Oryza sativa Japonica Group: one gene and its partner. Each later gene encodes a partner of the first gene's protein in a complex. Links are inferred from orthologs where the notes say so. Each region holds a gene or a part of one and is shown in the gene's direction. Other genes may lie near its edges.

Region 1 (3,878 bases):
GGTTTTACCCATAAAAATTCATTGGTTTTATTGATTTCAAAATTTTGTACACTTTTTACTTCAAGGGAATACTGGTCTTTGCTTAAAAGTTAGCTACCACCCTTGACTGTGAATCTGTGATAGCAAAAGAGAGATGAACACTACCACAAGATTAGTAAAAAGAGAAGTGCACATTTCGATCATTTATAGAAGAGATAATGTGTTTCAAACTTCCAATTATCAGTAAAAGCAAAGTCTTCTAGGCAACACCAAAACCATCAAAATCGAAAACCAGTTGGAAGTTGGAACAGGCAAAAAAAAAAATCTAGAGAAGATATTTTTGACACTCCTTCCCTTCAACTACAAGACAAACCAAACCAAAGCCCCACCCTAGCACGAAATCAAAAAAAAAAAGAAACAAAGAACCACACAAACATACAAACAAAGGTAAACGTAAACGCAAAAAAAAATCAAAAAAATTTCACCTTATCGTCACGCTCTCCCTATTTTTTTTCCCCTTTTCTTTGCTTCCTCTCTCGTCTCACCACCACACCCCCGGCGTGTCCGCCGTTCCAAAACCGCACGCCAAAACAGAAAACCAAATATTTGTCTTCACAATAAAAAAAAAACCTTTTTCAATTTTGAGGAGAAGAAAACCAAATCTTTTTCTTCACAACAAAAGAAAAACTTTGTTTCAATTTTGAGGAGAAGTCGAGGGTAAGAAATCGAAGAGCAGACAGCTATATATATATATATATATATATATATATATATATATATATATATATATAAAGAACACACAAAAAAATATTTTTATTCTTTTAGCAAAGGAGAAAAAAATCGAAGAGCATATACTGGTGAGATTAGATATAACTATTTTATTTTCTTCAGAAGAAGAACATTTTCTTTTGTAGGAAAAGCAAAGGGTGAAAAGAAAAATCGAAGAGCATCCCATCCCATCCAGCTATATATAGATTGGGAATTTGGGATTTGATACAAAGTACTAATTTTGAGCCCAACCTAAAACCCTCACCTTATCCTCTCCTCCGATTCCTCCTCCTCCTGCTTCTCTTCTTTGCTTCGCCTTCGCTTTGCTTGTGGTGGCCGGAGCAACAGCCCCGGCCATGGCCTCCACCACCGACGCCGACGCCGCTCCGGTCGCCCCCGTGCTCGAGGAGAAGCCCCCCACCCCGCCGCCTGACGGCGACGAGGTCCCTTCTGCTCCTGCGGCGGCGGCGGCGGCGGAGCAACCCAAGGTAGTCGAGGAGGAGGAGGTGAGATTGGAGGGGAAAGGTGGGGGGTTCGGTGGCCAGGAGGTGGAGGTGGCCGGAGACGGGGAAGATGGCGGCGAGGTGGAGGTGGCGGAGGCTAAGGATGAGGGAGGCGGCGGGGAGTTCGCCGGGGGAGATGCGAAAGCTGCCTCCTCGTTGTTGGCGGCGGCGGCGGAGGAGGAGGAGGAGGAGGAGGCGAGCAACGGCGAATTGGGTGAGGAGGATGCTTATCCGGCTTCCTCCGATGCCGCGGTAGGTGAGGAGAAGGGCGAATTGGGCGAGGAGCCGGAGGAGAAGGCTCCGGCTCTGGCTCCGGAGGCGAATGGCGCCGCCGAATCGGATGTGGAGGAGAAGCCGGAGGAGGATAACGAGGGGGAGGAGGTGGCTACTGGGGGTGGGGATGATGGTGAATTGGGAATGGAGAAAGAGGTTGATGTTTCTGCTGGGGCCGCGGAGGCGCCGCAGCCGGAGGATAAGGTAGCTCCTGAAGCTGAAGCTAATGGAGATTTGGGCGACAAGGCGGAGGAGGAAGCGAGTGCTTCGGCGGCGGTGGAGGTGGTGGAGGAGAGCAATGCTCCAGAAGAATTGTTGGAGAAGGCTGTGGTTTCGGAGGCAAATGGCGTGGCTGCCGCCGTCGAATTGGCTGTGGAGGAGAAGCTAGAGGATAACAAGGGAGAGGAGGAAGAAATGGAGGCGAAGCCTGAGCCAGTAAGCGGGGTGATTCCAGTGGTAATTGATCTTGCTCAGTGTAGTTTTTTTTGTTTCTAAATAGTTTTGATACATACAAGGATGTTGAATTATTCGTATGACCGAATCCAGGTTGTTGACGACACTAGCTCCGAGATGATTGCGCCTGTGAGTGCCGAAAGTGCAGTTGAAGAGAGTACTGAGAAGGAGCAAACTGTTGACGACACTAGCTCCGAGATGATTGCGCATGTGAGTGCCGAAAGTGCAGTTGAAGAGAGTACTGAGAAGGAGCAAACTGTTGAAAGCGAGGCCAGTGAATCTGTGGAGATTGTTGGTGTTGAGAAGCCTACTGAGGATGAGAGTAATGTTGATGGCGGTGCTAGTTCTGTTGTGTCTCGAGAATTGGCTCCAGAGGAAACCAAGGAAAATAATGTTGGTCAGGAGGATGAAGGTGTTGCTGAGGTTATTGACCGTGAAGAAGACGCTGATGATGATGAAGAGATAGTTTTAGCTGCAGCTGATGATGAAGATGATGGTACTAACGAGGCTGATGACGATGAAGATGGAGTGAGCTCTGACAGGGGGCCTGCACGAGTTGCTATTATAGAGAGTTCAGAAGCTGCGAAGCAGATCATGAAGGAGCTTGGGGAAGGTTCTGCTAGTGTTAGTCCTGTATCTGGCTTGAGCAGCTCGAGAGAGTACACTAATAGCATGGATGGGCAGATTGTCCTTGATGATTCTGAGGAGGATGGGGATGATGACGATAATGAAGATGACGATGAGAAGGGGTTTGATTCTGCTGCCTTGGCTGCCCTGCTGAAAGCAGCAACTGGTGCATCTGCAGACGGGAATGTCACAGTTTCTTCCCAAGATGGCTCTAGAATCTTCTCCATGGATCGGCCAGCTGGCCTGGGCTCATCAGCCCCATCTCTCAGGCCAACAGTCCCACGCCCAGTTGCACGGTCAAACCTATTCAGCCCCTCTGAGCTAGCAGTGACTGCTGAGCCTACTGAGGAGATGACGGAGGAAGAGAAGAAGCTGCATGACAAGGTTGAGTTGATCCGAGTAAAGTTTCTGCGCCTTGTCTATAGATTGGGGGCTACTCCTGAAGAAACAGTTGCAGCACAGGTGTTGTACCGTCTGAGCCTTGCTGAGGGTATTCGACACGGAAGGCAGACAAACCGAGCTTTCAGCCTTGACAATGCACGGAAGAAGGCCATGCTGCTTGAAGCGGAGGGAAAAGAGGAGTTGAACTTCTCATGCAACATACTTGTTTTGGGGAAGATAGGGGTCGGAAAAAGTGCAACTATAAATTCAATTTTTGGTGAAGAGAAGTCCAAAACTGATGCTTTCAGTTCAGCCACCAACAGTGTACGGGAGATTGTTGGTAATGTCGATGGTGTCCAGATACGGATCATTGATACTCCAGGCCTTCGACCCAATGTGATGGACCAAGGATCCAACAGAAAAATCCTCGCTTCTGTCAAGAAATATACCAAGAGATGCCCCCCAGATATTGTTCTGTATGTGGACCGCCTGGATAGTCTGAGCCGTGATCTCAATGATTTGCCTCTTCTAAAGACCATTACTTCTGTTCTGGGCTCATCTATATGGTTCAATGCCATTGTTGCTCTCACTCATGCTGCTTCCGCCCCTCCTGAAGGTCTAAATGGTGCCCCTATGACATATGAGGTGCTAATGGCTCAGAGGTCTCACATTATCCAGCAATCCATCAGGCAAGCTGCAGGAGATATGCGGTTGATGAATCCAGTAGCTCTTGTTGAGAACCATCCTTCTTGCAGGAGAAACCGCGAGGGTCAGAAAGTACTTCCAAATGGCCAGAGCTGGAGGCATCAGATGCTGCTTTTGTGCTACTCTTCAAAGATATTGTCTGAAGCAAACTCACTTCTGAAACTTCAGGATCCAAATCCTGGAAAGCTT
Region 2 (3,919 bases), on another chromosome or scaffold:
AATTGAGTATATACCCAATTTGAATGAGTATGAATTTTTTTTTGTAAATGTTTAGATATGAACATTAACTTCTTTACTAACAAGTTCAAACAAGTTTGAACTAAGTTTAAACTTTTTTTTTGTTAGATTTTGGTTCTAGATATATAACATCCAAACATATAATTCATTAGGTATGTAATAATGAATTGTGAAATAAAGTTGAGTTTGAGTTGTTTTGTTGTTAGGTATTTGTATGAATCAATTTCATATACCTAGGTATATACTCACAATTTGAAAATTTTTAAAAATTTGAGAGAATTTGTGTGTTTTATACCTTGGCCCGGGCACCATGGAGTCCCATATGGGTCTCATATATATATATATATATATATATATATATATATATATATATATATATATATATATATATATATATATATATATATAACTCCATAAAATCTTAAGTCCAAACTCAACTCACACGTCGACATATAAAAAAGACAAATTCAGCATATGAATAATATCGTACTGTTTATATTTAAATTTGCCTTTTTTTTTCTCGATGTGTAGATCAAATTTGAATATAAATTTTGGTGGACTAGTAGGTATCATTATACTTTACATTGCCAATTTTTTATAGAAATTTTCATAGCTATTTATATTAAATTTGAAAAAAAAAATTATGTACGAGGGATGTCCCTTCAAGAGATTAGAATCCACTCCCGGCTCTCCCCACCGCGCCGCCCGCGCTCCAGCCAGCCGAACCGCGGAGCGGAGTCTGGTCGACCGCGAGTAGACCGCCCGTCGCCATTCTCCCACGACGCGGTCGCCGGTGGCCGTTTGGGCCGCGTCTCGGATCTGAGTCAGAATGGGCCTAATGGAGAGATGGGCTGTACGGAGATGGACGTTCGACTCGGTCTAGTTAGACTGGGCCGCAGGTCAATAAAACCTTTTGCCTAGTTGTAGTCCGGTATTCGTCCGAAGAAAAAGAGGTAAATTGCAGTATTGCACCAAGACTACTAGAGTAATAATAACGTAATTACAGATCAAGGTTGGGATTTTGTAATTACGTCCAAGGTTGAAAATCCCAACCATATTCCCGTGAGGCGTTGCTACCGGAATTCTTCCAATTTTACTTGCTGCATTCAATGTTTTAATACAAAAAAAAAACTTATGTGCACTCAAGGTTTTAATAAAAAAAACTTATGTGCACTCAAGGTGTATGATAAAGTAGATTTACATGAGTAGAACAGAAGGCCACAGCTCTTTTTATCAACAACTCAACAACAATTCCAAAATAAACAGCTCTAACTTGTCGTCTCAGAGAGCTGAACCCAACCAAAAGAACAAGCGCCCGCAGGCCCAGCCCGTTTAGCCCACAAGAAAAAGCAAAAGACAAAACTAGAAAAAAAAAAGAGAAAAAAAAGAGGAAGAGTGAAGAAAAGAAAAGTTCATCTCCTCCTCTCCTTATCCCTTCCCTTCACCAAAACCCCCCCGACACCGAGCCCCTCCTCCTCGACCTCGCCGCAAATCCTCCGCCGCTCCTCCGCCGCTAGGGCATAACCGCCCGCCTCTCGCCGGCATCCGCATCTCCCGGTAAGCATTCCGTCCGAGTCTCCACGTGGTCCTCGCGGCCGCCGCCCTGCGCCCTGTCCAAATTGGGTCGGGGTTTCTGATTTGATTGGTTGGTCCATGTGTTAGGGGAAGGGAAGGGAAGGGAAGGGAAGGAAGGAAGGTGAGGGCGGATATGTCGGCGGCGCCGATACCCCGCGAGTGGGTGGGGCTGCAGCAGTTTCCGGCGGCTACCCAGACCAAGCTGCACGAGCTCCTCGGCAAGCTCAAGGAGGAGGTATTACACGCCTATGCAAACGCTTCTTTTATGGACTGGTTAATGGATTGGCGATGATTATATATATCCCGCTCTTGTTTTACGTTGTTAGTAACTGGTGGTAATTGTGTGTTTTGTTACTCCGTCTGTGATGTGATTGTATGTTTTACTGCTTTGTTTGTGATGAAGAATGTGAGCACATTGACAATTCTGGTGATGGGGAAGGGCGGGGTGGGGAAGTCATCCACCGTCAACTCCATCGTTGGCGAGAGGGTCGCTACTGTCAGCGCCTTCCAGGTAATGCTTCTTCCAGGTCTGATTTCTATTGAGCCCATAACCGAAGTTGCGTACTTATGGGTGTGTTGATGAATGTTTTCCTGTACAGTCCGAGGGTCTCAGGCCGATGATGTGTTCTCGCACCAGGGCAGGCTTCACCTTGAACATTATTGACACTCCTGGGCTCATTGAAGGTGGATACATCAATGAGCAGGCTGTTGAGATCATAAAAAGGTACCAATCTTGAGTTATAGCGATACTTGTCTTTAATCAATACAGTTGCTTGCATGTACCACAACATCTTGTTTAGGATTTGAGATGGTACTATAACCATACTAAGGTTGCCATTTTGACCTAGGGTCAAGGGCGGATCGATCTGTAGTATATTTTCTTGGAATTAGGAGCTTTTATGTACTGAAATCGGCATCATATTTATGGGCGACACATCTCAGAAACATTGTTTTAGTTTGTGTTTCCACTTTGCCATCCTGTGGTGTAAGAACGAGACAGGAGGTGATTTTATATTATTCTTGATTTTACAAACAGAATCTAGGGTGCTGTCTGAAGAGTCTTGATCCAATATTCATGTTAAACTGTTTTTTTGTGCACTATACTCACATTACTCTGAAGATAACCTGTTGGCTTTGTAATTTTGTTATTTTTTTAATATTTGTATGATTTTCTGGATATTCCAGTTTCTGTAAGGCTCCCATCAGATGGCCTAATAAGCCAAAGAAAAAGCCAAAATTTGAATTTTCAAGCTTAATTTTGAGATTGATTTTGAGATATTTTCAACGTAGTTTCTTTTTCAACATTGGCTTTTAAGTCACAAAGAACACATTTATAAAAGTTTTACCCACAAATTCATTTTTATTTCCTAATAAGCCGTTTTGGCTTATTAGGAAATAAGCCAAACGATGGGGACCTAAGGGTATAATAGTCTCTAGGAGCAAACCCTGATGGTTGATTGGTTAACTACTGTTGACTGCACATCAATGCAAAAGGGAAATGGATGACTAGTAATGGAGGCGAAAAATAGAAGTGCAACTCACAATGTTAGAGAGAGTGAATCAGGTTGCAAGGAGTGACAAAAGGAAAATTCTCTTAATTATTAACAATAACTATTATGAATCAACACAACTTTTCTTTAGGTTGCTGCTCATAAATTTGACCTTCGCGAAGTTTTCATTATGCTGTCTTCAAAAGTTCTATTCCTATACAAGTCATATGTGTTATCTACTGTATCGCAGGTTTCTTCTGGGCAAGACTATTGATGTCCTCCTTTATGTGGATCGATTGGATGCATACAGAATGGACACGTTGGATGATCAAGTTATTAGAGCTGTCACCAATTCATTTGGAAAGGCCATTTGGCGAAGAACATTGGTTGTATTAACACATGCTCAGCTCTCACCACCTGATGGACTTGACTATAACGATTTCTTTACAAAAAGATCTGAGTCACTTTTGCGATACATTCGTGCTGGTGCAGGAGTCAGCAAACGAGAACTTGGGGTAATGTATACCTCACTTGTCTTTTATATGGGTATTATCGGCATATCAAGATTTTTTTTTTTTTTTTGCAATTTATCTGCAGCTTCCTCTGTCTAAACTAATATTTTTTCTTCATGTGTATTATTTGACATGCTCTTTCAGAACAATTATTCATTTTCTGTCCTGTGTTGTTGCTGTTTCTTTGCTGATCTGGAATAATAGAACACATAGTAATCTGTCATTTCCCTTCTCCTTGGGTCTATTTATTTTGCTGTGTAACTAACACACTCTCTTCAGTTCATCTGTAGGTTATGTATTTATGTGTTAATATTATTCTATGAA

Evidence for each region.
Region 2: translocase of chloroplast 101, chloroplastic (region 1) and translocase of chloroplast 34, chloroplastic share a complex: the UniProt entries of both Arabidopsis thaliana proteins name them as parts of the TOC core complex. The link is inferred for Oryza sativa Japonica Group from reciprocal best matches to the Arabidopsis thaliana genes TOC159 and TOC34.

The regions. Positions count from the first base shown.
Region 1 is NC_089039.1:2,992,955-2,996,832, reverse strand, and holds the start of translocase of chloroplast 101, chloroplastic, read left to right. Parts: upstream 1-976; 5' UTR 977-1,103; coding exon 1,104-1,979; intron 1,980-2,069; coding exon 2,070-3,878. UniProt on the Arabidopsis thaliana protein: GTPase involved in protein precursor import into chloroplasts. Seems to recognize chloroplast-destined precursor proteins and regulate their presentation to the translocation channel through GTP hydrolysis. Required for chloroplast biogenesis.
Region 2 is NC_089037.1:7,484,546-7,488,464, reverse strand, and holds the start of translocase of chloroplast 34, chloroplastic, read left to right. Parts: upstream 1-1,415; 5' UTR 1,416-1,575; intron 1,576-1,680; 5' UTR 1,681-1,726; coding exon 1,727-1,828; intron 1,829-1,996; coding exon 1,997-2,104; intron 2,105-2,192; coding exon 2,193-2,317; intron 2,318-3,333; coding exon 3,334-3,598; intron 3,599-3,919. UniProt on the Arabidopsis thaliana protein: GTPase involved in protein precursor import into chloroplasts. Seems to recognize chloroplast-destined precursor proteins and regulate their presentation to the translocation channel through GTP hydrolysis.